Linked DNA regions of Alligator mississippiensis. The protein of the gene in region 4 purifies or fractionates together with the protein of the main gene of each other region. This does not show direct contact. Links are inferred from orthologs where the notes say so. Each region holds a gene or a part of one and is shown on either strand. Other genes may lie near its edges.

Region 1 (8,019 bases), on a different chromosome or scaffold from region 4:
GGTGGGTAAAATGCCATTCTATCCAGCCCACGGGGCCCCTGAAAAATTTAGAAAATTAATATTTATCTGCCCCTGGCTGCCTGTCATGCGGCCCTCGATGGCTTGCCAAAACTCAGTAAGCAGCCCTCCACCCAAAATAATTGCCCACCCCTGTCCTATTGGTAACAAATAGGAAGCAGAAAGACAATTCTGTGATCCCCGTAGTGCTAATGACATTCTAGCATCAGCTCCATCTGGCAAAGCTAAGTATTTCACAGAATCATAGAAAATGAGGGTTGGAAGGGATCGCAGGAGGGCATCTAGTCCAACCCCCTGCTCAAAGCAGGACCATCCCCATCCCAGCCAAGGCTTTGTCTAGCCAGGTCTTAAAAACCTCCAAGGATGGAGATTTCACAACCTCTCTGGGTAACCTGTTCCACTGCTTCTCCTAGTGAGAAAGTTTTTTCTAATATCTAAATTAAACTTCCCTTGCTGCGACTTGAGACCATTGCTCCTTGGTCTGTTATTTGTGGATATTTTCTAACGTCTGCATGCTTATGGCCCCATCCTGCAAAGATGCTGAGGCACCCTCAACTGCTCTTCCCTTTAATGAATGAAGCAGGGGCTCAATAAGCGAGTCTACACGTTGCCCTATGGTGACGTAGCACCATAGTAGCAATCACATGGGTCTACACATGATAGCCAGCTATGTCGCCGTAGTGGTGTGCTCCCCCAGTATAGTGCACCACTATGGTGACGTAGCCGGGAAACTTACCTGTGTGTGCGCACAGTGCAGTAACAGCCAGTATTGTGCCATGCTTTAGTACTTCTAAAACAACTTCCTTTTGAAAGTACTAAGGCACAGCAACCTGTAGACATGCCCAGCTATTGTTAGGCTCCAGCACCATTGGCGACACATAGGGGGTGCACATGGATGCATGTGCACCCCCTCAGCATGGCGGTGCACACCCTGCAAAAAAGGCACTGCTGACACTGCCAGTGGCGCCTGCGGGCAGTTGCTGCTTGCCACCCCCTCCTTCGCTGCCAACACTGCCAGAGGCATCTGCAGGTGGTTGCTGACTGCCAGTCCACACTCACGACGCACTCACGAACCCTGCCTCCTCCCACCCTCCCGCCCTGACAGCACAGCAGCTGCCTGCAGAAGCTCGCCATGCTCCCCCAGCCTCCAAGGACACACGGCGTTCATGTGCACCAAATGTTAATTTAAGTAGCATAAATTCAGCACATGAAAGTCCTAGTACAAAAACCTTGCTAGTGATGATGGCAAACAGTTTAAATGAAGCAGCACCTTCCTACTAGAAAGTGGGCAGAAAAACAGTGCTGGAGGGAGCCTGAATTTTACATAATGGTCATTTTTGCCCTACTAGTTATGGTCACCTAAATCAGCTCATGTCGTGTTCTAAGCATGAAGTGATTTATCAGTCCATTGTAAAGTATACATACAGCTTAGACTTCAAACCTGCTAACATTTCAAAAGGAACTGAGTTATGCCCAAGGAGACTGTCATTGCTCAACATTGCCATCAGCTCTGCCAGCTGTGTGCCAGGGAAACCATGCCACATACCTTTCACAGTCTCTGTAGGAGGGGACCCAATCCCACCATCAACTCTGGCATTCCCCCTGAAAGGGCATAATCCTACAAGGTGGCTTAACTCAGAGGAAGCCTAAAAGGGTAAGTCTGCATGGGTCTCTTGAGAGTTTAGTTGAGTGATTATAAAGGCTGAATTATTCTATGCCATCCTTTAAAGATGTACGATTTAATTCTTGATTGGTTTGTGGCCTCTTTATCCCATCCAAGTACTGTAAGCACACCACAAACTAGGCCAGAGACCACATCTAGGTAAATGGATTCTCCTGGACAGGATGGACCCATTGGGATGGCTCTATTTCTTTCTTTTGTGTCCCCAAACAGGTGTGTGCTGGGGATAGTCTGATAAGCCCACAAAGGACCTCGAGCCAGAGCATAAACTAGAACAGCCTTAAAGTTGCTGTGATTTATACCAGGAGGAGACTAACCGGATATCTAAAAAAATCTGTTTCCTCCAGCTTCTTAGGCCAAAAGGGGAAACAAGAGGAGTGGAGAATAGGGCTACAAGCCTTAGGTCACCAGTGCTCACCACTTCAGGGCGCTGGCAGGAAATCACAGAATTGGGCAATTAACAGTCATGGTGACTAATGCTATAGCTGAAAGCAGAGAGTTTCTTTTACCTGCCTTCTGACACAGTCTTCATACAAAGAGGTTTCAACACAGGCCTGAGGAAAGATGAAGGACTCAGCAGAGGGGCAGCCACGGTCCAACATCAGCACACGCAAGGCTTGAAAAAGGAATTCTCCAGCGATGAATTGGAGCTTTTCCTTGGTGAGTGCAGGCATCGGCAGAGCGAAGGCTACCAGGCTTGATTCATTTCCCCTACCGCTGCTTGCAGCAGTCTAAGCAGTGATGAAACTGCAGAATTACATCCCTCCTTACACTCACTGAGCGTCTCTGGAACACAGCTCCTGCAGCCCATCACATTCCTCAACGAGACTTGGCAGGCTCTGGACTGCTTCACTGTGCTCAGACCACAGCAGACAGCAACACAGAACTGAATCTGGTACGTTTTACTTTGGCGTGGGAAAGCAGAGAGCACCAGAGGCGACTGCAGACAGAGGAAGACTGACCTGGAGGAAAACGATCAGAGTATGCAGAAGAGGAAGGAAAGGGATGGAAAGAGCCACTCTGCTTAGCTGGGGGAGGAGGGAAAAAGAAAGAGGAGTCATATCCTCACAACAGCTGAGGGAAAAAGCAAAGAAGGCAGCCATCGGTGAGGAAGAAGGAATGAAGGAGAGTCTCTCCCTTCTGCTGTTAGGGAATGACGAGGAAGAGGAGAGAGAGGATCTTCCCCATGGAGAGGGGCAGTGAAGAGGGGCTCCATCTCTTGGCAGGATACAAGTTCCTTACCATCCACAAGAGGAGGGGAGCCTGGTTTGTGAGTACGACAGGATGCAGAAAATAAAATGAATGAGGCTGCTCCCTCATAGCAGACAGGAGAAGAAAATGAGACAACAGTCCTGCTGAGACACTGGAAGAAAAAAGCAATGCTACAAAAAAATAGCAAGAGTCCTCCGATCTCTGTCTGCTTTGTTACCTGAACACAGATACTGCCTAACTGCCCACAGCTGGCTCCCTTTGCTCAATATCACCCTCTGTGGAGCCAATGCTTGCAGCAGGAGATCTAAGCCAAACATAAAATTGGCAGAGAAGCAATGACACAAACCTTGCTATGACAAAGCCACTAAACCACTCTTAGCTTCAAACATGAACAAGACAGAGCAGCAGTCAATGGAAACACGCTGTCATTATGAAACAGGCAGGCGCTGGCAGATCATATCGCACCCATGCCCTGAATGGATGTGAACAGAACTGCTTTGCTAGCTTTGTTGTGAATGGCAAAAACCACATTCTTCCAGCTTGAGGAAATTTCTGCTTTGCTACAGCCAAGAACACCAAAAGATAAGAAAGGCACACGTGTGGTAATGCTGCTGCCAAACCATGTATCTCCACATGTGGACACAGCTTGTAAGCTATGAGAACACACAGCCCAGCCTACCAATTCACAGGTGGCAAGGAGCACCAGGGCCATTGAGATCATCCATTCTGACCGCCTGCATGGCACAAGCCATACAGATAAGAATAATATAGGCTAGGAGTATCTATTTCAGCTAATCCATGCACTGCATCACTTGCGAAGCAGAGGAGCCCAGACAAAGGTTCAATTTGCAAATTGCTTTATAGGACAGTGGAGTATAAATGCCTTTCCCTAACAGCCCTCTCCAGTTTGACTAACTCTTCCAGGGCAGTCACAGAGACCTCAGTTTACAAAAACCCATTAATCTTGGATACAAATGAGGATTAGAGCTCAGTCTTCTTCCTTGTGTGTATCCAGCTTCATGACAATTTTCAGCAACCAGCTTCACTGCTCTGTCCTTTCCTCCTCTACCTTCAGTTATACACCAAATTGCAAGATCCAAAGATTATTATTAAAACTGAAAAGCTAGGTGCTCAGAAGTGAGGCAAATACCAGCACTGGAGTTCTCCATACCGCCTGAAATTTGCTCACCTTGTGTTCATATCTTGAGATAATGTTTGAGATGCTGATCACTCTTGTTACAGCTTGTAAATGTATAAGCAGTTGACACCAGGGTTTTGCAATGCAAATCAGCAAGTGATCTCAAAACTAACTGGTGCTCCCCAACCCACTTCTAACACTCTTCAAGGGCTGAGTGATGAGCAGGTCTTGCTTTCCCTGTCTTTTGCTTTGAAAATCCCCTTTGCTCCTGAGCATGCACAGCTGGATAGCCAAGCCTCTGCAGACCACCCAACTGGAACCCCTTGGAAATTCTTCTGCTCATGCTTTGCCACATGCTGCACAGCCAAGCAGCGTCCGAAAGCTGTATCCAGGAGCTTTGACTTCCAGTTGCCCACTGTAACCACGCTACCACTGCACACGGCATGTGAGATTTCCAGACGTGGCTGTGGACTGTAAGGGGTCCATCATGAGATACCCCAGAGATGATTTTCAGACTTGCTGGAGTGGATACCATACCCAACTGCATCTACTAGAAGCAAAGAAACTGATGGGCACCACGGACAGCCACAGAGGCCAGAACAGCTTCTATTGAACTAATGGGAGAAATGAACCCCAGGTTCTAGAGCCTTTCACTGCAAGCACCCTGCCACCAGCCCCAATAGAATTAGGCTGTGTGTGCTCTTGTGATTAGCTCCCTAGCCAAGCCCCTATGGTAAATAGTTATGAGCTGGGATTTGCATGGCCGCAGCTCACTTATGTTCTAGTCAGGGACCTACCTCATTGGGGAAAAGTCCACCTGTACCTGTCCACTCTTGGGGTTTGCACTGCATGGCTAAATATTGAGGGCTGTGATCAGAAATATACTTGAAGCCCTGTGATCTGTAAATAGTTATGAGCTGGGATTTGCATGGCCGCAGCTCACTTATGTTCTAGTCAGGGGCCTACCTCATTGGGGAAAAGTCCACCTGTACCTGTCCACTCTTGGGGTTTGCACTGCATGGCTAAATATTGAGGGCTGTGATCAGAAATATACTTGAAGCCCTGTGATCTGTGGGAGATGAGCCCATTCCCCTCCGCTCCCTGGCCTCAGGTAGTCACTTTGGCTTTCTGCCTCAAAGACATCTGTAAAATGAGGGAAATAATATTTACTTACCTACTTCACAGAGATTATTGCAGTGAAGACAATTAGTAAATGTCCAGGCAGCAGTTTGAAAGTGCTATACAAATGCTGAGCATTATTACACCTGTAACAATCCTTTCTCCATCCAAGATTCTTTCACCCGCCCTCCTGAGCTCTTCTTTTAGGTCCTGTTATCTGCATCTGTCTTGACTTGACTGGATCCCGAGCTCTTCAAGTTCAGGAGTGTGTTACCTGTGTTTGCTGTGTCAGTGTCTGGTGCTGCGTATATGCTGAATTAAACAGTAGGCAGGCTCTTCACAGAAGGTCATAGTTGTTGGCTTTGATGATTTTAGTCCAGTCTTTTTGGGTCTTCATCCATATGTACCATATTTTGTTGTGTTACAGTGATCTTATCACTAATCCTGTCATTTGGTGTGAGCACTTGAAGAAAAAACCTGCATTTAAACAAAATGCTAAAATTAGTCCACTATTTTCTCAGAGCTCATCAGATTTGACCTGGTGGGTGCATTTTGGTAGCAAAACTTTGGCAGACATCACTATGATGTAGGACAGTTTAAGCCAGTGGGTTTCAACCTTTTTGGCCTCAAAACACCCCTTGGAAAATGCCAGTTCTTAGCTTTCACTCATGTTTTGACAATGGCAAAGCACTGGAGCAATTCTTCTTTTGAAAAGATCTCAAAAAGACCACAATAGGTCAGAATGTTTTTCTCACTACAGGTTCCTATTTGAAATCTCTGAGTTTATCTTGCAAATTGTGAGTAGGTGGTTGTACACCTAACAGTACTAATATTGCACAGGACCCTTAACAGCGTGGCTCTCCAGGATGCCATAGCATGCTGATTGAGAATTTCTGATGGAGGCCTTATAGTGTTCCAGGCTATTGAATGCCTCAATAGTTTTCTTTTGCTACCTCTTTTGTATACACATTATTTACTTTGAACAACTGCAATCAAAAGGCAAGATTTATCAAAATGGGCACCTGAAACAAGTCCATATTGAGGCCCCCAAATAAGTGACTTTCAACAATAGTTGCACTATTGCCTCCCCAAGTTTTTAGAAATTATAACTTGGGCCACACAGAAGCATGAGATTTTAAAAACCTGTTAAGGTTTGCCTTAAGGTTTTAAACTTAGGTTCCACAGTCAAGATTGTTCTCTGGAAATAAGAAGGCTAGAAATTTACTCTTCTCCCCCTTTCTATAACAAAGCTGAGATTCTTACATAATCACCTTGGACTTTAGGACGAACACCAGCTATTGCAGTATTTGTGATAAAATCACAAGCATTAGCAACACTGCCATTCCATTTCATTTGGGGGCCTGTCAAGGGACTGTGAATCTTAACTGTAGGTATCCATTTTTAAATTGCACAAGCAAGCTGTAGAAGCTCCTTCCTTGACAAAGAAGCTGGATGGGCATCAGTCTCCAGTAGTTTAACAACAGTGCATTCTGCACATATACAGGGGGCTGCTGTACCAGAGAGCCCTTGAGGTCTGTCACAACCCAAAGTTGTGATTTTTGTTTGTGTGCGCGCTTCGGCACCACTAAATTATTTCCCGCTATTTGTCGCTTTCTTTGCACGGTAGAGTTCTCTGCTGCGAGAGAGAACTCTGGTGCAACAGGGGATTTCCCACCAAATTACAGCTTCTTTGCAGGGTGCATTTCTTTTGCAACATAGTGATACACGCTGCAAAGGAGTTCCCGCCATTTGTATTCGGATTTGCGCCACATTATTGGCCAATTCCTAATGTAGGCACATGTGGCGGCTAGCAATTGGCTTGCTAGCCGTACAAAAGGCTTGGGTAGTTTCCACCCAAGCTGGAGGAGGGAGGACGAGAGAGATTCTGTGTGAAGATCTCCAAGCACTGCGGACCCTTGCGGACCCAACGCGCCTCCCCTAAGCAGGCAATAGAGGCAATAGAACCGAACCGACAGAGCTTTCGTTTCTAGCCTCTCCCCGTTGCCAATCACAATCCCAGACGTATCCCTTTCCTGTAACTTCGGACCCGCGGAGCCTAAACAACTCCGGGGAACTTTTCGAACCTCGAACCGGACCCGCGGAGCTTGAATGACTCCATGGGAGCAATCGATTTGTCGTGGTCCTCTAGCGAGGATCTAAGCGGGAGCTGTGCCTGGAAACCTATCCAGCCTACACCAATACCATCTTTGGGTGTAAGTAAACAATCTTTTCAATCAACCATTACGCCTCCGTAACTAATTCTAGCTCGTGTGTAGCAAACCGCGCCGCCGGTTCTCTCCAACCCCACGTGCCCGGGCTGCTGGCCACAGCCCGCGTGCATGAAGACGGGCCCGGCTCACCCCCGGCTTGCACATGGCGACGGGAATGAGATCGGAATTGCCGCCGCACATGGCGACAAAGGTGGGATTGGGGCTCGGCCCACACATGGCGATGAGGATGGGATCGGGGCTCGGCCCACACATGGTGACGAGGATGGGATCGGGGCTCGGCCCGCACAAGGTCCTTTCCAACATCAAGAACCTATGACATTCTTGGCTGAAGACTACGCTTAGCTTATGTCCTAGGCTCAGGCTCTGTCACCACCTGTAAGATTACTCCTACCTCAGTAACATCTCTCCCCACTATGGCAGTGTGCAGATGTGAAAATACTCTCCTTGCCACAATTTGGTGCATTTGAGCATGAGAAGCTTGGCTTTTGATTTTAGCCCATAAGGGTCCGTTAATCTTTTTCTGTAGTGAATTGCCCTGGTGATTCTGTCCTCAGCTCCTGAATCTCATTTGGAATTTGCTTTTCATTCATTCATTTGGTTCCCTTGTCACAAATCAATCT
Region 2 (6,883 bases), on a different chromosome or scaffold from region 4:
TTGCTGGGTGAAAGCCTTTTTAAGATTGGTGAGGTGGCAATCCTGGGCGTTCTCTTCAGTACAAATGCGGTGGTATCTGAGGGCTTGGCTGTATATCACAGCTTTTTTGATGTGTTTAGGGTGATTGCTGGTTCTGTGCAGATATGTATGTTGGTCTGTGGGTTTCCTGTATACTGTGGTCTGTATTTTACCCTTCTGGATACTGATCATTGTGTCTAAAAAGGAGATGTCGGTGCTGGAGTATTCTAAAGAAAGTCGGATGGAGGGATGGTGGCTGTTGAATTTCTGATGGAACTCCATCAGAGATTGCAGGTTCTCAGTCCAAATGATGAAGATGTCATGGATGTATCTTAAGTATAGCAAGGGTTTGATGGTGCAGTTCTTGAGGAAGTCTTCTTCCAGGTGGCTCATAAAAAGGTTGGCATACTGTGGGGCCATTTTAGTGCCCATAGCTGTTCCCATCATCTGGAGGAAGTGTTGATTATTAAAAGTGAAATTGTTGTGTGTGAGGATGAAGTGTATAAGGTCAGTAATATCTTTGGGTCTGTATTCTGAGTTGTAATCTTGTTCCTGTAGATATGTAAGGCAGGCTTAGATGCCATCCTGGTGTGGGATGTTGGTATATAGGCTGGTAGCGTCCATGGTGGCTAGGAGTGTGTTGCTGGGAAGGTGGTCTATCCTGCAGACACTTACATGCTTACCTTTACTAGCAGGAACAGCTCCCATGGTAGTAATATTAAGCATGTGCTTTAACTTGAGGATTGGGGCCTAAGTGCAAAGCACTTAATGCATGCCTTTGTAATATTAGGTATGCAAATATAAAGCCTAACAAAAATAACTCATTAACACAAAGTACAAGCACCAACCATTCACTTACTGAAGTTATTTACTGTAGCAATCCAGTTAAATATGCTTGTAAAATAGATGAAAAACAACCATTATGAACTACAATAAGAACTGGACTACATACCCAAGTAAGGAAATTAGCATCTCCTTTATATAACTGTGCATGCAGGAATAACTGGGTATCACACACTTGCTTACTCCTGTTTGGCTGGGAATGCTCAGAACACAGACCTTTGGTTCCTATACAGGCCAGCACCTTGTATGCAGCAGGGACATCATAGCCTGTTGCTGATAAAGCCCAGCAGCAAATTACTAATCCCGGAAACCAGGAAGAATTATGATCAGAGGAGTGTCTCTGTGAGTCACGTTGCTGCCCAAGGCTACTTTTGATAGTACTGTCTTAGTCAGAGTCATGTCTAAAAATCAAAGCTGTCTCAAAATTGGCATTAGGTTTAAGGTGTTTAACCTACCCTTACTATGATAAGGAGCTGCAAGTCTCAAGGCAGACAGCACTTAAGAAGCAACCCCTGCAATTTGTACAAATTCCTGTGCCACCAATGAAAATAAAACTCCGCAGCACAGTGTATATGTTGTCACTAGTGGAGGAAACAAAGTTCAGAGAACATAACATTACACACCCTGAAAGTAGTCAAGAAAGCAAGCAGATAAGACTGTGCTGCCTGTAATAACTTTGTTAAGACACGGAGCTGCACTTCAGCTCTAATCCTACAAAGAAGCTGCAAATGCGTAGATCCCAGGACCCACATGAAGTTTTTATGAAGTTAAGGGGTTATTACAGGGGTTTAGGTTCTTTATTCTCTGAGGATTGGGGCCTTGATCCCTTTTGAGATAACTGTAACAAAGAGAAATTCAGTAGTGCTTCACACTTTGCAAATGCTTCCCCATTTCAAAATGTTTCCCAGGGAGAAGAACGACAGGGACAGATCAGTTCTCCTTAAGAGTTTGTTCCTGTGAGAAATGTTCTCCTCTTCTGTGCTCTACAGAGCATCTTCCAGACAGCCTCAGGATCTTGTGGTTTTCAATTTGTCATACGTCCAAAAATAAAAAAAAGGGAACTTACTGAGCACAAGGTCTGAGACAAGGCTCTGACTAGGAGGTAGGAAATTAGTGTTTGAAGATCTTTTAAATGACAACAAACTGGCAGGGTTTTTGGTTGTAGCCATGTTGGTCTAAGAACATAGGCAGGCAAGGTGATCTCTTTTATTAGACCAACCAAACAGTTGGGGAAAAAAGTTCTTTGCAAGCTTTCGGGTACAAACACCCAGGGCAGGTAATAAAAGCTGTTGGAGCTCATTCCCTGCCATTCACTCTTTTATTGCATTCTCCCCAGGAGCATCACAGACACCGATTCTCCTCCTATTAATCCCTGGGGAGCTATTAACCCTGCAGCAGTTACTGCCCAAACTGCATCTCTCACCCAAACGTCTCTCCGGAGCGCCCCCTCCCCCGTTTCAAGCAGACCAAAAAAAGTGAACAAGCACCACAAAAAACCCCGAAGAGATGGGTCCCAAGACCGCAAACTTGGGGAATGACAAAAACCAAAGCCGCATGAACCAAATCATGCAGACCTTAGGCTGTCTCCCCACCCTGCGGCTCGACGCCAAATCAAAGTCCCAGTGAATATTTGTAGTGCAGACCTGGGGGCAAAAAGGATGGGGGGTCACAGAGGTATCACTGCAAAAAGAAGTCAAGAGGGAACAAATCAAACCTTGCTGAAGGGGGACAGAGGAAATTACATTATAATGCGGGGGGTGCAGGGGGCATCTGGACCTGGCGAGCAGGGGGAGAAGGAGACGTCCCCGAAGGGCTGAGGACGAGGGACTCGTGCGTAGTTCCTGGGGGCACGGGCCCGTGTTGGGGCAGGGGCAGGAGGAGGGAGACGGGGCCGAGAGCACGGGGGGGGGAGGAGGGGACTATGCCGGGATGGAGAGGGTGCCCAGGGGACGGCGCTCACTCACCGACCCCGTACTTCTCGCGCTTGGTGGGGATCCAGCGGGCCATGCCGGCGGCCCGGCCCGGCCCGGGGCAGCGCCTCAGCGCCCGTCTGCCCGCGGCGGCGTCGGTCGAGGCGCCCCGGGCTGCTCCGCCATGTTCGGGGCCGGCGCCGGGGCCCCGCTACTAACTCGCGGGACCAGGCAACTTTCCTGCCTCCCGCGGCCGCCCAGAACAGCAGCAGGAGGAGAAGGGAGAGGGAGGAGGAAGCGCCTCGCCCCGCCCCGCCCCGCCCCGCCTCGCCGGGGTTACCTTGGCTGCCCCGCCTACGAGGCGATTTGCTGCGGCCCAGCCCGACTCGCCTCGCCTCGCCTCGCCTCGCCTCACGTTTGGCGCCCCTGGGGGCGGCGGGCCTCCGAGTCGCCGTGCTCCGGTGCCTGCAGGGGGGCGGGGCGCAGCCACTGACACCGTCCGCGACGGCGCTCCCGGCCCCTGACCGCGCGGGTCGCCGGGCACCAGGCTGCCGCGTCCTCCACTCGGGACGTGGGCGAGCCAGGGGCGCAGGGCAGGGAGCCACCCGGGGCCCCACACGCGTGGTGGCAGCGCAGCCCCAGCCCCTTCCCGGAGGAGCGAGTGCCTTGTGCCATTGGCACGAGGGCCAGGGGTTGCCTCCCTTACTGTACACCTCGCCCCGCGGTTCAGGTCGGCGTGGCGCTGAGATGAGGATCTAAGAGTAGGCTGAGAGAAACCTCTTCAGTTATCCACACAGGAACCTAGCAGGAAACCCTATGAATAATCCCAATCCACTCATGGGGCTACCCACCATGGTTGAAATTTAACACAGGCATGTATGTTTGCAGGGCCCAGGCCTATTTTTTATACCTGCATTAGGAGATGATTCATATCTGTGAAGCATGAATGAAAGACTTTTTCTTCTCAGAAGTGTGTTTCTATTTTAGAGATCTTGTGCAGAGAGCTGCATGGCAGTACGCTCCTTTGTAGACTTATTATTATTGTTGCGGTTGTTATTTTTAAACTACGAATAGGAGCAAATAGACTGCATTTTGTTAGATTTGTTAGTGGGTTTTTTAAATCTATTCCAAGCCATCCTCACTATTTTATGCATGAAAACTCCCAGCGGTGCTTCTATTTTTAGATGCAAGTAATTATTGCTTATTCCAGCAGAAAATGGAAGACTATAAGTAATTTGAATGCATAAATTAAACAGTAGCCTAGGCAATATATTGTAGGAAACAACCCTGCACATTCTCGGAGGAATCATGAATGTGGGATCTTAGCAGGACTTTTCAGTTTCCAGTGTATCCGATCGATCATCAAAATCTTTCAGAGGATGGCTCCATTACTGTGATTCCATTTTTACTGCACACGTGTTGTTCTCCTCCTGCAAAGCAAACCGTTTCATCCACACTCTTTAGTTCTTTCAACAACAAAAAAACCTGGCAAACCCAAAAAAACAATTTTTGGTTAAAATATTCATACTTTCATACTTAAAATTGGACACCTAAAACTAGGATTCTCAAAAAGGATGAAGGGATTTATGCAATGATTAAGAGATTTAGGTACCTAAATCCCAAATGGAAGTCAATAGGGTTTGGGCACCTAACTCCCTTAGAATCTTGCAACTATCAGCTTACACCCATATTTAGGCTCCTACTTAAGTGGCCTGATTCTTAAAAGTACAAACTGTTCATAACTCCCTTGGAAGTCTAGGAGTTATGATTCCTCAGACTTTTGAAAATCCAGGCATACGTTTACTTACTTAAGCATGTGTAATTACCTACATTTTGAGCACATGAGTCTGCAAATGTTGGCACTAAACTTGTCTTCTTCAACCAGTTCTTCAAGGCACAGCCATCTGTCCCTCTGTGCAGGTATTTACTGCGATGGGATCATGATCTTGACTGAAGCCTCAAGGTGCTAGAGTAACAAAAATAACAATAAATACTACTTTGCCCCTTCTCCCATACCCCATTCTCCATGTGACAACAACACTTTTTCTGTAATAGCTATTTCCAGTACTAGTAATGTACACTTTGCTGTACAGTGTATTTTTCTTTAAGTATGCCTGGTCGTCTGGGCTAAGAATATGTGGTTTATGGGCTTGTCCCAGACATGGGAAGTTAGTCATTTTGTTGTGGGATGCACTGTAATGTTACACCCAAGTTTCTTCAGACCAGCCAGGCTGATTGCTAAGTTGATGACTTGAATTTGTTCCCAAAAGCTGCTCACAACTGGTTTCTGATGTCGTACTTCCATTCTTAGGAGCATAGGCATGAAAGGGAATTCCTGCATCAACTGCCCCAGTCCTCTGTTTCACTGCAGCCACGTTGTATAATCCCTTTGATAAACTGAGGGGGATTTGGGGGTGATATAAAGCTGGCATAGTCTGATCTGTGCCACTTGTTTTCCTCTCCCCTGGAAAGCAGCTGTACAGTCCTGAGCAAGACTAAGCATCTGTCCCACGGTTAGTCTTTTCGGAGTGTTCAGCTGTCATCAGTGCTTCAGGCTACACATTCTTGCCTTTGGTGTAATGACTTGAATTTGTGCAAACATTCACATTTAGTTTAAATACTCCTCCCTAGGACACGCCAATAACAGGAAATGTCTGCTTTTTTCTGAATGAGACGGGTCTGTTTCTTATCACACTGATTACACTTATCTTTGAGGTGATTTTCTATGATGTCAGAATACAGAAGGAAGTGATACAGCTTCAGAAATATCTTATGGACAACATTCAAGCTTGGAGGCAGAGTATTAAAAAAGATGGCACCCCTTAAGACATAAATGGTTAGATTCTCAATAGAGATGTAGACTCCAGGACCGTATCCACACAAGCGTGGACATTTGTTTCCCCAGGGAATGCCTGTGCCAGGAGCCCTCTGGGGTGTGGCAGGCTAACTTGGATGGAGGAGGGGAGGCTGGAGCCAGCAGCCCTACCTGGGGTCAACCCCCCTATGCTGCTACCTTGCAGCACAAAGAATAGTTGAATGTGCAGAATGTGGCGACGCACATGTTTGCAGCGCCACATACTGCATGGCAGCGCTCATTTGGACGCATTTGAATATGTGATCCTTATTTAGGTGCCTAATTGGGAGCTGGGTTTTTGTTTCTTTAACCTGGGCCTCAAATAAGTACAGTCAAAAGGCCTGAGGCTGAATCGATTCAATCTTTGCAGAGTAGTCTAAGCTGCATGAGGTTGAACCAATAAGGAAGTGAACCAACATTTACTTTTGATTCCAGAAATTCAGCCACATGTCTGGAGTGGCTCAGGCTAGAAGCTGAAGGCAACAGAGCACACATCCCTGCTCAGGTGAGATGGACAGCCTGGGCCAAGGCTAGCCTACCCATCCTGCAAGCTGGGGTTTGCAGGGGAAGTGCAAAGCATCCTGGGATGCTGGGGGACTGAGAGTTAACTTGAGTCTGGAGGGGATATGGGACAGAAGTTCAATAAAAGCATTTAACCGAAATCAGTTATGTCTGATACTACATCCATCCAGGTTTATCTTAACTGGATTCAGCCATTCTGAAAGTGGTTTATGTGCACTGAACTTCTGTTGTGTTACAGATTTAAACTGGTTTCCAATCACTTATACCAGTTTGTGTGTAATTTCTGTCCCTAGCCCAAAAGTACTGGGCTTTCAATCCTTTACTACTATATAGTTTTGTAGATGTGTGTGACAGTACTGAATTGACACAGTCCCTGTGTTGGTGTCATAAATATTGCAACAATTACAAATATTTCTGCAAAATGTTTATGGTTCTGCATTTTAGAAACGAGCTAGCTGAGCCTTGCTTCTCTTTTCCAGTCCAGGGCATGAACGTTCTTGGCATCAAATGAAAAGCAAAGCAAAACAAGACTGATGAACAAGCACTAACTAGAGGGGCTGGTTTTATTATTGTTGGAGGGAAAGTCAGTGAATGATTTATTAAAATGTAAGGATTTATCAGGTCAGTACTGCACAAGTAAACAATGTTAGGTACATTTCATCACTCAATATGGTTTCTATTTAGGCAAGTGACTGTGTTCATGTAGCAGCTTCTTACTCAATATTTTGTCTTCAGT
Region 3 (7,091 bases), on a different chromosome or scaffold from region 4:
CCAAAAGATCTGGTTCCTTTGGCCAAGTGGTGGAAACTCACTTTTACGTCCACTGATCCCTCATTCAGTCCCAGAAATGCCTGAAATAGATGCTTTCTTCTCTTTGTTTCTGCCTTCTGTAAACACTATATCATAACATATGCCCAGTACCAGGATGAATAAACAAGTATCCCAATGTCTAAAGTTAAATCTTTTTCCCACCAATACTTATGTGATCTACTGGTAATGTGATGTGTATGTTGCATTTCCCCTGCAGGGCCTCCTCCACACAGGATAACAAGATGCTTTCCAGCCACTTGTTACAGCTATAGAACTGAATTGGAAATGGTACCTGGAGACAAAGGTTGTGGGTTCAAAATCTGTTGATGACCCATAAGAATGAAAAAAAGAAAGAAAAAACACATTAAGAGTAGAATAATAACTGAAATAATTCTATACAGAGCAAAACATAAGTGAGATTGCAATGAGAATGTGCTCTACTCATGTATGTATGTTAAGATTTTACCTATTTCACTTAATAACAGCTGGCATTTTAACAAGGTGTAAGAGCTTTTGCCTGTATATCCAGAGTGTAAGAACCTACTTGCATCAGCTCCAAAACCTCAGAACTTGACTAAATAAATGTCGTACTCCCAGAAAGGAAACTCTCATTCTTAAAAAGTCTCTTTTTAACATTTTTGGGAACAGCACTGCCCAGAGACACCCAAATTATAGTAGCTATAGATGGCTGATCTGCAGGTAAAGCAATTTAATTCCTGCTGACCTGTGCTTCAAAAATTGTTCCCATCTCCAAGTTACTGAGTTAGCTCCTCTCTGACAAGGGTATGAGAAGTCTGACTCCCACATCCAATTCACTGCTGTGTTTTGCGCTATGCTGCAAGCTCTTTGAGGCAAGGACTCTCTCTTACACTGCATCTGTGAAGCACCTAACCCAGCAGCGGGCAAAGTCCAGTCCACAGGCCAGATCCAGCTCACAGTGGACTCTTATTTCCCAGAAGCCCCTGCCTGCATTGCTGAAGTGGGTTTCCCTCGAGACCCCAGGAGCAGCAGAGCCATGATAGTGAAAGACCAGGGTTTCCATGGAGACTGGACGCAGAAGTGCTGGCAGGGCGCACGGCAGGGGTGTGCAGGCAGCAGATCATGGCTCTGCCCCATCTCTGGACCATGTTTCATCACTGCAACATCCCAACCCCTGCCCCGGAGCAGCTCCCCCTCCAGCCGTGTGTCCTGACAGTGCTGCTGGGGCCAGTCTCCATGGAAACCCTGGCCCCGCAGTGTCACAGCCCCGCTATTCCTGGGGTCTTCATGGAAACTAGCTGCGACACAGACAGGAGCTGCTGGGAAATGGAGTCTGGCCACCAGCCGGATCCACCATTTTGCTCATCTCTGGCCTAACCTAATAAAGCTCAAAGCCCCTTGGGTCCTCTAGCAGCAGCCCCTGCTGTGGAGACCAAAATATCTTAATTTCCAATTGATGAAAGATGACCCTACTGTAATTGTCATACAAGTGCATTAGAGGCAGACAGAGGGTTTTTCTACTTGCACAGGTACACCATCTCTGCTGAAAATTTGAAAAAATTAAAAGCAAAAAAAAAAAAAAAAAAAAAATGCGTAAGGAACTGATCCTGCCTAAGTGCAAAGAATGGAGCAGAGAAATTCTATTCAACATTTCTATGAATTCAGACTGCTGTAGTATAAAGCCACCACTGTATTTGTTGCAAAGTGCTGTCTACTGCAATTGCTATCAAGGAGCTCAATCCAGCCAAGCCACAGTAGTTGGATCACTTTTAAGTCCAATCAATTAATCAGCAAAAAACAGAAACCTTGGTGATATTTACAGTCAGCTCTTCCACTGTTATATTTCCCCAGAGAGATTACTGCAAACCATCCTAGCATAAAATGGTATTGATATCCTGTAAACAATGCTAGTTTTCCCAGGGCATGTTAAAAAGTGTGCTCTCCATACACATTTTGAGCAAACAGCTTAGCAGAGCTGCATGTTATATCCGCCTTCCAAAGAGATGTCAGCCTCTTTGAATACAAGACATACCCTTGATGAATGTAGCAGCACTGTCACATTTCCCAACATCCAATGGAATCCCCATTACTAAGCACTTTAGTGAGACAGGAGCCCTGTCTGCTTCTCAGAAGGAAGGAAAGGGAAAGGCGATGCCACCCTCCTGCATGTGCAGTGGAAACCACACGAGAAAGCAAAGTCACAGCCCAGCCTCAGACTTTATCCATGAAGTCGCTGGTGTCACTGGAACACTACACATCTGGTCCCCAACATCTGTCTTAGCTGCCACAGCAAAAAAAAAAACAACCCAAAACCCAACCACCCTCCACTCACTGCTTGAATCTCTCTGCTACACCAGCCACACTGGAAACCCAGGATGCTGCTCAACACCTGTGTGGAGGGGACCCACCACTACCAAAAACAGGGGGTGGGAGAAGAGGAGGAGAGGGGGTTGTTTACGGGGGTGATGGAGCATCCCTGGTCGCGGCGGGCAGCCTCCTCCTCTGCAGCCTGGCAACAAACCTGCATTAACTGGGAGGCTTGAAACACATGTATGCGCACGCACACACCCTTCAACACACCCCCTCCTTCACACACACACACGCACACACACACATCCCCCTTCGATATCCCCCACCCCCTTTGACACACGCGCATGCACACACACCCTCTGGCATACACACGCACACACCCGTTGCCCGCACGCCTGCCCTTGGACAAGCCGCAGCCGCCCAAAGGTGCCGGGCGCTGCGGGGCGGGGCGGGGCGGGGCGGGGGCTCCGAGCAGCAGCAGCGGCGAAGCCGCCCTCGCCCTCACCTGGAGACGCAGTTCTCGAGCACGGAGCTCTTGCCGGCGCTCTGCCCGCCCACCACGGCGATCTGCGGCAGATCGAGCAGGCAGCTCTGGCCCAGCGCCGCGAAGGCGTCCTGCAGCCGGTTCACTAGCCCGATCAGCCCCTCCATCCCCGCGCCGCCGCCAGGTAACGGTCTGCGCCGCACGCCTGCGCAGTGCGCGCCGCACCCCGGGGGCGGGGCGGGGCGGGGCGGGGCGACCGGGACACGCCCCTGCCACGCCCCCCGTGTTGTCCCGGCTGCCGGAGGCTGCCTGGGGCGGGGACGTGGCGCCTGCGAGTGATAGAAGCCCCGTGGGGCATCCAGGAGTCCTGGAGAAGACCCGCCCCCCGCAGCAGGGGCGGATGCAGAATTTGGCAAAGGGGGTGCGCCCCCAGCTGCAGCCCTGTCCTGCCCTGCGGGCACGAGCCCTACGCCGTTGTAAAGTTCCCGAAGCAGATGAGCGTCCCCCTGCCTCGCTCAGAGGCGTCCGCCCCCGTCTCTCTCTTCGTCTTAGCCCAGCCCCACACAAGTCCTCCTGGACGGGGAAGGAGCAGCTCTGAAGCTTTCCCCACCTGGGCAGGGCTGGATTAACACACAGGCAAACTAGGCACGGACCTAGAGCCCTGAGCTGAGGGGGACTGGCCCTTCCCTCCAAGGTGGTGGCCCTGTCCACCTCTCCTCCCTTCCCTTCCCTCCCCCTCCCCTCTGCCAGCCTCCCCACAGCAGCTGAGCCCCACCCACTCCCCGTGGCAGCAGCACCAGGGTGGGGAAGGGGGTCTCAACCAGCTTGGGACCCACACATTTGTTTGCCTAGGGCCCAGTAAAGGATTAATCTGGCCCTGCACCTGGGGACAGTAGGGAAAGCAGGTGGGGGGGCTGGGGGACAAGGGGAGGGGGCCTGTGTTTCTGAGGACAGAGGGGAAGTGAGGCTTTTCTTCCACTTTGGGGGCTTCTTTCGAAGTCTGCAGAGGCGTGCAAGCGTGTGCATGTGATTTTTAGGCTTGTTTGCTTTGCCTTCAAGGCTTCACATCTCAGCCTTGAGGGGGAAGCTGAGTCCCAAAGGAGCATGTTGCTCTACAGCCAGGAGGGCCAGAGAATTACTGAGAGCCTAGTGCTTCCCTTCACCCCTGACTTGCTCAATATCATGAGAACTGCCAAAACCACTCAGACCACCACAAGCATCAGGTATCTCCTGGGCCTGCTACCTCCACTCTAACATCCCTGTGCTCCTCTGAACTGCATCGTCTTGAAGCTGGCTGCTGCCAGGCTTCTAAAGCAGGTCTGGAGTGAGGAGGGCAGGTCAATTAATTTTTCCAACTGTTTAGTTGGTCTAATAAAAGATATCACATTTACCCAAAGATTAAGAACCTTGTCTGCCTATGTCCTTAAACCAACATAGCTACAACCTACATCCTCAAAGGCATCAGGCCTCTAAGTCTATGCATCAGGCATTGGTCTATGCAGTTAAAGCCGGTCAGCTGTATTCACTTGTCTTGATAAAAAAATATATATATATTTAAAATTTATGTAGCAGGCTTACCTTTCAGAGCTTGGGCTGAGTCCCAGGTTTGAGATCCTGCTGTTTTGATTGGTGGAGCCCATCCACCAATCAGGAGGCAGTAAGAGAAGTGAAGTCACATGCCTTTCCTGATGGGAGGGAGAGAAGAGCTCCCCTGGACCTGATTGGAGACTGCAACACTGTCAGGCTCAGAAGACTTCAGGGGCAGAGCCCTGGAGGGTATAAAAGGAGCTGTGCCTCCAGCAGGGGGGAGATGCATTAGGGACAGAGAAGGGCGGGGCTTAGAAGAGCTGAGGAGAGCTGCTCAGCAGGGTATAGCAGTAGCCCCTGAAAACTTCTATCAGCCGGGAGCTGCAGATGGCTCCAGTGGTTAGGTTCTCGGGGCGCAGCACGGCATCCAGATCCTGGCAGCTGCATGAAGTGGCTCGGGTCTGCAACCTTTGGCGTGCAGCCAGAGATGGTGCACAGGCTGGGGTATGGAGCAGGATCTTTGGAGCCACTTGAGCAGCTCAGGTCCTCAAACTCCACATGAGACTGGGAGCTAAGTGCAGACAACGCTGCACAGATGGTCCAGGAGCAGACCAAGCCCTGGTGCTGCACAAGGCTGCCCAGGCCTCCAACCCCTAGTATGAGGTAAAGCGCCCGCTACACACAGCAGTGCATGTGGCCCTAAGCCAGGCCAGTGACAGTAGTCAGGCGGCAGGAAAACCCAGCAGGAACAGAGCTCAACCTGGAGAACAGGAGGCAACCCTCCGGGACTGTGGAGTAGTAAGTAACCCTGGAGAGAGGGTTCCCACAGGGGAGGGACCCCCAGGGTTGTGAAGGGCCACCTCACGGGCTGCTCCTGGATGATAGCAGGGGGAGCTTAGGAGTCTTTGGGGTCTCCCTCTCCTTTTCTTTCCTTCCATCTCCTTTCCTGTAGTGATACCTTGGGAGTGGGGCCCCTGCCCTGGAGGGCACCCAGGTAGTCTAAGGGTTGCTTGTTATATATGTAGCCTGTGCCTTGTAGTTTATGTGAATAAGTTGAAGTAATAGTTTGTATATTAATAGAGTTATAAAGTTGCCCAATCAATATCCTTTGTTCTGGGTTGTTCTGTTGTTCACTTGTATTTTTGAATAATGTGTGTATATGGTATAAGGTTAATTGTTTTGTAAATGTGTACATGTGATGGGCTACCTGGTAATGATTTGGCCCAGGGGTTTTGAAAGGGTAAAAGATGATTGGAGGGCTTTGGATTCCCTTTCCTCATCAATCGGGCCCCAGAGATTCACCTTCCATGTCCCCTGATTTGGCCCCTCGGGTCACCTGGAGGGGGATAAAAGGGGCAGTGCAGCCGACTTGGAGACCAGCAAGGGAACAGGAGGAAGGAGTTTCAAAGAGCTGGCAAGAGCTGGGCTAGCGGGGCAGGAGCAGTTGCCCCAGAAGCACCTGAAGGAGTGGGACCTGCAGGCAGCAGTTGGACCCTCAGAGGCACGGTGTGTAGCTGGCAGGAGAGGCTCCCCACTGGGCTCTAGGATCCCCCTATGAGAGGCTGTGGCCAGCAGGAGAGGTTTCCCAGCTCCAGCAAGAAGCTGAGTAGTGACTTGAGAGGTTCCCAGCTTTGCTTCCAGCTTCTCCAGCAAGAGGCAAGAAAGCTTGATGTGAGGCAGGGGCTCTTGGAAAGTCAAAACCCCCAGCAGTTTGCAGCAATACTAGCACTGGTGGCTGTGTGGTAGAGTTTCTGCATAGTATGTGAGAGCTCTGAGTTCAAGTCCTAGTTAGGATAAATGAGGTGAAATGACAGGGAGAAATTCTTGTTGCAGTGGAAGGGGGTCATTGTGTTTTCCCTCTTTCCCCCCCCCCCCCCCCCTCCAGGTACCTAGCCCCTATATTTCTTGTTGTTTGTCATTTTGTATCTTGTGCCTCTTATATTTTGCCAACCAGTATTGTTTGTTCTGCTGTTTGCGTTTTTATATTTTGTTAAACCTGTCTTTTTGTCAACTGGAAGAATATGTCTAGGATTGTAAGTGCCTAACTTCTATTGAATCCTGCCCCCTCGGGGTGTTGTAGTGTTCCCTATACCCCCTGGTTTACACATGTTATGTTCCCACTACTGTTTTTCTCATTAAAAGGTATATGGTTAAGTCCCCATTGGTAATCTGGCTTTGCTCTATAGGGGAAGGAGGATCCCTACACCTCCCACAATGCTTGTGCACCTGCTCTGATCCCTTCAATTGGAGAGGGGGTACATCTTGGAGTACCGCCCGGGTTACAAACATATGTCCTTACCCTTAATGGTTTTATTGTAATAACTATATACAAATTTGTTAAGTAATTGATTTGACTGGGTCTGACTCCATAGGGGACAGAGGCGGCCACTAGTCTCCTGTGTCCCTCCACAGCACCCTGCCCTGCCAATAATTCCCTCCAATTGGAGAGGGGAGTACAAACCTGTGTACACCCAAGTTACATTTAGAAAGTTATATATGGCTTCTTTTTGATAGATTGGCCAATGTCCTTTGATTTCTCTCCCCCCCCCCCCCCCCCCAAAATAACATTACACCACAAAAATGTAAAGCACAGGTAGATTTTGACAGGAAGTTTTCAGAAGAGAAACAGTAAAATTGCCATTATTTGAAACTGGAAGTGATTCTCCCTCAGTGGAAACTGGTACAAAATATTTTTAACGTGAAACTTCTGAACTGACCCTGGCAGCTTCTCAAAACAGAAAATGAGTTAAGG
Region 4 (7,683 bases):
AAAGTGACCTAGTGTTTAGATTGTGATATTTCCATTCAGATTGTTAAATTCAGAAATGGAGATATAATCTCCTGGCCTGAGATGGACACACAGACACTATCTAACAAATATCAGTGACATATAAGGGGTTCAAAATCCATTTTCCTAAATGGCTATTTCCAGAACAGTTTTGCTTAGTTTTAAAATCAGACTAGGACTGCTCTGACTGCAGCCTCACATGTTCTACCTGAAGGATCAGACAACCCCTATGGGAGCTTTCTGCTTCTTTCATCACTGCCAGTAAAAACTCTGCCGCAACAACCTTGTCAAGAATTTTGCTGATAGTACAAGAGGTAGAACAGATTAGTTTGCTCTTTCATAACCAAAACAGATCCATGGGCCTAAAACCTTGTGTTTGGCTATAGAGAGTGTAAATATTAATCAGAGGCAGAAAAATGTTATATACACTATACTGTATTATATACTATAATATAGACTATAAATATTATATATAAGGGTGTATACATAATAAAATTATATATTTCTGACCACAACTAATTTTAATTGCAATACTTTTCACAGCAATGGCAGGCAAAAAAATCCTAGTTGCTGTTCTGTTTAGGGTGGAGGTTTCTGGGCTCTCGTTCAAGCGCTGACACTCCTGGACTAGCTTCCAACAGTCTTTGAAGTTTTACAAGTTGCCATATCTCAACACAAGGGAGCAAGAGGTCACTTCTCCATTATTTTGAAAGAGAAGAAACATGGAGCCTGAATGTTTTCCTAGTTAGTTTTAACCTGTCATATCAGTGCTCCAAGGAAGTATATTTATTGCACTTGCAGCACTGAAGCAGTGGCAAAACTTGGGGGGGCATCTACTGGCTGTCTCCTACGGTATGCTGTGGAAACTCACCCAAAAAATGGGTGTATTAAGAAAGGCCCTAAGCTAAGTCTTTACTTGCTGCAATGCTAGAAATTCTCACTTTCTCAATCACAAAGAGTAGGCGTTCTGACTCATAGTATAGAAGACACTGCATCAGTTGTCATCCAAGTGACCAGAATCATTGCATTACATTGTACGGTAACTGCATGTAAAATCATTAGCTTCTATTACCTGAGCTGAAGAACAAGTTCAAAGATCGCAGCAGACACAAATCACAATCTGTGGCCTAGCGCCTAGCGAGGGTCAAAGCCACACTGGGCTACACTGGTCTGCAATTGTTATCTTTTGAAGTGTGGTACTCAGAAGCATTTCTCAGACATTTAGCGAGATCAGGGCAAACGTGGTGTCAAGATTGCATGAGTACTCTCACAGTGGCTTGTGTCTTCAGTCATACTGTATCAATATAAATCCTACGCCACTGTTACATTTTATGGCATTAATAACAGTTTTGACTTTGATCAGTAACATTGTGTAGATACAAACATTCAAAGCAGACATTTTAAACCTTCAATAGCTGTTCATACAAAATATGTTGCAAGTCGTCTTCCAACCTATTCATAGCAAAGAACCACACATTGAATTTCATACTTCAGACTGCTCCAGGACATTTAAAAAGGGGCCCAAAAGGAAATGTCAGACACTAGAAAAATTTTACTCACTTGCCACTGCTTAAAATAGTTGGAACTAATCTTAGATTTCACTTTACAACCACAAATGGCCAAAGAAAATTCAAACTATTCATACACTACAATAAGGATTTGAAATCAATCCTCAGACTCAAAACACAGACTCTTTGTAGCCTTTTTTTTTAAATCCCTGCTAAAGTTGTGTATCAGGATTTAAATTTCTATGATAGCAGGACTTTCATCCCACCATATTTCTAAGAAAATACATAGTTATTTTGTTAAACATTAATTGATTTGTATACAGCCTAAAGATATGTATTTAATTAGTCCGTAATAATAACACCCCAGTAACTTCTATAAACTCTTTGCTCCCAAACAACTCATCAAAAGGTTTGCTCTCTCATATAAGATTTATTTCCCAGTATGGTGACTTTAAAAGGCAGTTTCAAATAAGCAAAGTCAGTCAAGCAGCTGCAACTTTAAAGCAGCTATTTTACAACTGACAGCTGTTGTCTATATCTATCTTTTTTTCCAGACCAGCTAGTAAGTACCTGCTATATACTTTTTCCTTTGCTTAAACTGATATGGCCCTTCTCATGTGGTTTCTTAAGAATTCCCAAATTGTCCCTCTGAATACACAAAACCAGAGACCCTAGTGTCTGCTGCAGTGGCTAGCCCTGGGGACTGAGACCTCGGGGTCTTGAATTCTATTTCTCATGCTGGCACTGAGTCACTATGGGATCTTGGATGCGTCACTTAACTTCTTTGTCTGCCATATGTAGAATAGATGATAATTACTGCATCATTTCCAACATCCTCAGCCCCCTTAACACTCTTTTCTCCCACCCTCACTCGATTTTTGAATAATTCAGAGGTGAAACAGCATGTGTAGTAGTGGGAGGGTGTGAATCTTACCCCAACCAAGACGAAAGTAAAACCTGTGAAGCATAGTGTTATTATGTGCAGGAAATTATCTTGCTGATAATGGAAGGTAGAAAACTTAATTTCCAAACAGCTTTAGAAAAGAAAATGTATCCAACGGTTCTGACACTTAGAGCTGACACATTAGCAAACCAGATCTTTACAAATGCCCGAATCAGGGGAGAACCCTGCATGAGCCATTAGTGGAGGGGTAGGCAATGTTTTTTGACCAGAGTGCTGAAAAAAACACAATGTCTACCTTGGAAGGTGCTGAAGTGCCAACATGCTGGAGCCTGGAGCAGCTATTTACAGCCTCCCAGCTGCAGCCGGCCCATGGAGCCCATTCTGCTTGCAGCAGGGCTTGCAGCCTCCCAGCCACCTGCTGGGAGCAGCCTGGGCTCCGTGGCTGACAGCAGCTGCTTAGAGCCCAGGCTGGCAGTGGTGTGCTGAGCAAAATGGCCTTGCGTGCCATGCATGCCAAAGGTTGCTGACCCCTGCATTAGTGGAATCATCATGTCTTTAAGAAATATATTTTGATACAGGGCTGCTCCTGCTGCATAGATTTTTTTTTCCTACAATGGTCATGGAGAGGCTAACTGACCTATTGATATAAATGGCCACTGTTGTTCAGTCTCGTTATAAATTAAGAATAAGTGATTTCAGACGAATGATGCTCAAACTTTTGGCCCTGCAGACCAGACATGGAAATTTGCCCCTGGTCTGGATCCTGCAGATGGGGTCCAGAATGCTCCCCCAGCACCAAATGTCTGGACCAGGGCTGGCCCGTCCTATCCTGCAAAACCTGCTTCCACAGGGGGCCCAGCAGCCGAGGGGCCCCCTGCATCTGGCCACCCCTGGCTTCTTCGGCCGCTTGCCACCCCTTCCCCTGCTGACGCTGGCTTCTTTGCATCGGGGACCCCAAAACTATATTTTGCAGGGGGGCCCAAAAATTGTGGACCGGTCCTGGTCTGGATCCAGTGGGCAGGAAGTTGAACACTGCTTTACATGGCAATAAATTAAAATGCTTTGCAATTCCCATGAGTGACAGGCCTGAGTCACCTCTTATATACAGACTATCTGGGTAAGCCTAGATCTGAACTTTGCAACTGAGTCTCATCTCTAATTAACACAATATATACGCTTCCTACACTCCACATTCACAGACCTGACATGGCTAAAAAGTCCTCTATAATTGGCCTGTCGTTAATAACTACCCCCAAGAAGCCAACTGATAAGAGCCTGTGGGCTGTGACATCCTTTAGGCACCAGAATCCTGGGAGTGGGTGGGTAGCCATAGAAAAAGCTTCTATTTTTGAAATCAGCCTTCTTATTGGAAAGCAAGATTAAGAGTTACTCTTTAAATAGGCCTTGGCTTCATCAAGGAATCAGAGCCAGATGTTTACCTAGGAAACCACTTGAGATTATATTGTAATTACTTTTAAGAATAGTTAAAGGAATGTCAGGGGGGTCAGAGCCAAGCTCGCTCTCAAAAAAGGAAATACTAGAATTACAGTTGCTCACGAAACCTTAATTCTCCCCTCTGCGCACACACATAAGCAAACAGTCTGTAATTACACAGACGTAAAAGCATCCACTAAGTTTGGATGCCCAGCTCGAGGCACCTGGGGCATTATTATTCAGAGCCCTTAATGCGTATGTAGCACTTTCAGGATTCAAAGCATTGCACCTATATTAACTATTTAATCTTCTGAGCATTCCTGGGACCTGGCTAGAAAAAGAGAGGAGGAAAAAGGGCAGGGACTTGCCCAGAGCTCTCTATCCACAGCTACAAGCTTCCCCTGCTTCACCAAATCAAGTTGGTCCTCCAGGGCTTTCACAACCTAGATGTGTTTCAGCTGTCGGTTTGCACCCATTTCTCAGCTTCTCATGTGAGCAGTGTTCTCAGGAAGGCTCCTCCCTTTCTCTTTTCATCCCTCCTCCCTGAGCATGCTCAAATGACACCTGCACCCGCCTCCCCAGCCCACCCTGGACATCCCTCGTGCCCGCAGACGAAGGACGCTTCAGGCGACTAAACCCACCATAAAGCCCCCTGTGCCAACCCGCTCGGTCCCACGCATGCGCACTGGCAGTGTCAGGAGCCGACTGGCGAGGCCGCGCCTGCGCCCGGCGCACACTCCCTGGGGGCTCAGACTACGCATGCGCGTGGGCGGGGCGCGCGGCCCTGACAGCGCGAGGCCTGTCGGGCGGTGCTTCTCGCGAGACTTGGCGGTAGCGGAAGCCAGGCGGCGGCGGCGGCGGGAGGGGCAGCCGGGAGAGGCAGCGTCACGGGGCCGCTCGGAGCGGAGCGGAGCTCCAGCGCCACACGGTGAGGGCGGGCCGGGCCGGGCCGGGCGGGCCGGGACAGGACCTGGGGGCAGCGCGGGGCCGCTCCACGGGTGGGGCCGGGCGCTGCGCCCCGGGGCCGGGGGGGGCCTTTGTGCCGCGCGTCCTGGTGGAGCTCCGCTCCTCGCCTCGCGGGACCGGGAGGTGGCACCTGAGCAGAGGCCTGGGGGGTGGGCCGGGCTGAGCTGGGCCGGGCCGGGCCGGGGCGTGCACAGGCAGGGCGACGGGGTCTCCGGCTCCGCACTTCGGGGGCCCCTTGGGTTCAGCCCCGTTAGCTGTGCAAACACGAGTCAACCGTGCCCAGACTTCAGACCCGCATCCCAGTGGGTGACCCACGCTTTGCCCTGCTGCGGGCTCTCCGAGGCCTCTCGTCCTGCAGTCCAAACAAGAGCGAAACTCCTCTTCTGGGGACTGCTTTGGGTGTGAAAGGGTTGAGAAGCACCGAGGTGTCGTTCCTCCCTCTCTCCACCCCGCACGTTCCCCTTTTTCTGATGTAAGCCATTACGTTTATAATAGTGTATAGATGCTTATGTGCTTGTGTGATAAACGCGATTCGTGTGATAAACCTGGGGACTCTGAATAAGAAGCCACAGCCTTAAAAAAACAACTCCCCCCCCCCCCCCCCATCTTGACCTGATGTGATCTTTCTGTGTTCATTGCAACAGAAGAATTGCTCTAGTGTTTTCCCCATAGTCAAAAATGGAGTGAAAACCAAGAGCTGGCATTTTCCAAGGGCCGCCTGGAGCCTGACAAAGGGTGCCTTGAGTCTAAAAAGGTTAAGGACCGCTGATTTGGAGCCAGGGAATACTGTTTGGAAAATCAGGGTTAGGAAACACTTCTCCTTTCTTTTATGAATAAATTGCTACCCATATTCGCTTGCTCCTAAGTTAACTTCTTGGCATCCAATACTTTGCCCAAAACAAATGGTCTTTGGGTTATTTTTTTATCGTCTCTTAAGAAGGTGACATCATCTTGCATTAAAGCCTTTCACAATAGTAGCAGATTCCGAAATAGAACTCTTGTATTAGATTTTAAAAAGTCATTCCCGTATGAAAGAAAGTGGCAGCTAGAAAGTAGCGGTCTTGGTAAAACCAAAGCAGTTGTTCCCTGATAAGGTGATCGTGTTCCTAACAAGGCCTGGCCAAAGAATATTGAATATTGGGAAACACCCCAGAGGCTGAAAGTCTGGTGTTGATTGTTTCTTGACTTGTTTTTGAGCCAGCCACATTTGGCCCAGTGGAAGTACAAAATGAAGGATGAGAATTGCGGAATTGTTGATAGGTTGGGGTATAATTTCTGATTCTGGCTGTCCCTGTTTTTACTTGTTTTCAAGTTGAATTTGCACCATGCTATACATGCTGTACTCACTTACATAGGCAGCTCGGACCAGTGCATGGGCTTGCTACATTGACTTCTTTCAGTCTGCCTTCCTTTGTTTGCAGCCCCTCTTATTTTTGTCTTCCAGATGACAAAACCTATGCTGTTCATTGGAACACGGGATGCACTCCTCACTGCCACTGAACCTTTCTTTCTTCTGTTACTCCCACCCTCCAAAGCTATCTGTTCTTCTCTTTCTGCCCTTGCCTCTCTTTTTCCAGGACAGCAAGAGTGCAGAGTTAAATCAAGAGAGCCCTCATTTACTGATGGAAGCCATATCAAAATAGTCTTCATCCCCTGTGTATTTGTGAAATCTCAGGAAAAGGGGTCATAGGAATTGTGATTTATGGTGGACAGCAGGAGCTGGTGCATTACAAATACTTGCATTCTGTCTCAAATTTAAACTCTGTGCTATTAAATGAAAAGTTACCCAGGTTGTGCACTTGGTGCTTTCTTCTTTTCCCCTCCCATTGTTTTTTGTTTGTTTTTTTTTAAACAAGTGAACACCATGCATTAAACTGAATGTGAGAGTTAAGAACCATACCAGTTTCTTCTGAGATATCTTAGTTGCTTCTCTAGTCAATCCTTCATTCTTGTAACCTGTATTCTTATTTTGGGTGTGTGTATCTTACCTTATCTGTCTGCCTGGAGAGTTAAAATATACTCTGTAAAATGGCCTCTTTAATTGCTGTACCAGTCTTAATCTGAAATAAGTACTTGCAACTTCACTTAGAGTGGGCAGTGTGGCAAAGGACTAGCACAAGCCACTTCCTACGCAAGACAGACTTTCTCACTGTACTGGGTTTATTTTTTCTTTTGAATTATTTTCCCGATTCAGTTTGTTTGTCAAAGGTGTTTGGCAGTCCCACTTCCTTAATTAGGTTGTTTACCTGTGCTGCTATGTGTTTTTTGTTGTGCAAGATATTACCAACAATACACTGTACTGATAAGAGTAGTACATAGCTAAAGCTTTCTGAGCAGTTTAAATTGTATGATACATGTTCCTGATTTTGTTTTCCTTTCCTTAGCTGACATCAGCTATATAATAATTTAAATAGAAATATGTATGTGTGTATGTAGCCTGGATACCTGAACTTCAGTGACATTTTGCCAACAATTAAGAATGTTACATAGCAAAAGCTTGCTCTCCTAGGCAAGTATTGCTAATTAGTGTGGTTACCTAAAAACCTAATTCTTTTAAGTACTGAAGATCAAAATAAAGGTGGTGTCTTTGCGCTTGTTAGATTTAAATAAATCTCTACAAAGACTGTCTTTTCATCTTGTACCTTGTGAAAAAAGTTGTTTGCTTGGTAGGAAACTTGCTAGTTCAGGGTATCAGCAAAATGGTTCTTGGAAACATTGCACTATCTTTTTTTTCTAAGAACCTTGTGTTTTTACATTTTGTAACAGAGTTTTCCCCTATACTACACAAGCACCTTGAGCAATGATGTACCTCCAGGAAATATTTACTCATAGGTTTTGTATCTTTTGTTTAAA

Evidence for each region.
Region 1: the proteins of GRB2 (region 4) and ARHGEF5 purify together in Homo sapiens (affinity purification with mass spectrometry; 4 studies listed by BioGRID and IntAct, with this or other methods). This does not show direct contact. The link is inferred for Alligator mississippiensis from reciprocal best matches to the Homo sapiens genes GRB2 and ARHGEF5.
Region 2: the proteins of GRB2 (region 4) and DOCK5 purify together in Homo sapiens (co-immunoprecipitation; 4 studies listed by BioGRID and IntAct, counting the BioPlex papers as one, with this or other methods). This does not show direct contact. The link is inferred for Alligator mississippiensis from reciprocal best matches to the Homo sapiens genes GRB2 and DOCK5.
Region 3: the proteins of GRB2 (region 4) and DNM3 purify together in Homo sapiens (affinity purification with mass spectrometry; 5 studies listed by BioGRID and IntAct, counting the BioPlex papers as one, with this or other methods). This does not show direct contact. The link is inferred for Alligator mississippiensis from reciprocal best matches to the Homo sapiens genes GRB2 and DNM3.

Annotation. Positions count from the first base shown.
Region 1 is NC_081827.1:140,187,549-140,195,567, reverse strand, and holds the start of ARHGEF5 (rho guanine nucleotide exchange factor 5), read right to left. Parts: upstream 3,018-8,019; 5' UTR 2,374-3,017; coding exon 2,209-2,373; intron 1-2,208. UniProt on the Homo sapiens protein: Guanine nucleotide exchange factor which activates Rho GTPases. Strongly activates RHOA. Also strongly activates RHOB, weakly activates RHOC and RHOG and shows no effect on RHOD, RHOV, RHOQ or RAC1.
Region 2 is NC_081830.1:22,943,918-22,950,800, reverse strand, and holds the start of DOCK5 (dedicator of cytokinesis protein 5), read right to left. Parts: upstream 3,018-6,883; 5' UTR 2,869-3,017; coding exon 2,826-2,868; intron 1-2,825. UniProt on the Homo sapiens protein: Guanine nucleotide exchange factor (GEF) for Rho and Rac. GEF proteins activate small GTPases by exchanging bound GDP for free GTP. Along with DOCK1, mediates CRK/CRKL regulation of epithelial and endothelial cell spreading and migration on type IV collagen.
Region 3 is NC_081828.1:44,901,546-44,908,636, forward strand, and holds the start of DNM3 (dynamin-3), read right to left. Parts: upstream 3,018-7,091; 5' UTR 2,980-3,017; coding exon 2,834-2,979; intron 1-2,833. UniProt on the Homo sapiens protein: Microtubule-associated force-producing protein involved in producing microtubule bundles and able to bind and hydrolyze GTP. Most probably involved in vesicular trafficking processes, in particular endocytosis.
Region 4 is NC_081831.1:12,480,665-12,488,347, reverse strand, and holds the start of GRB2 (growth factor receptor-bound protein 2), read left to right. Parts: upstream 1-4,681; 5' UTR 4,682-4,792; intron 4,793-7,683. UniProt on the Homo sapiens protein: Non-enzymatic adapter protein that plays a pivotal role in precisely regulated signaling cascades from cell surface receptors to cellular responses, including signaling transduction and gene expression.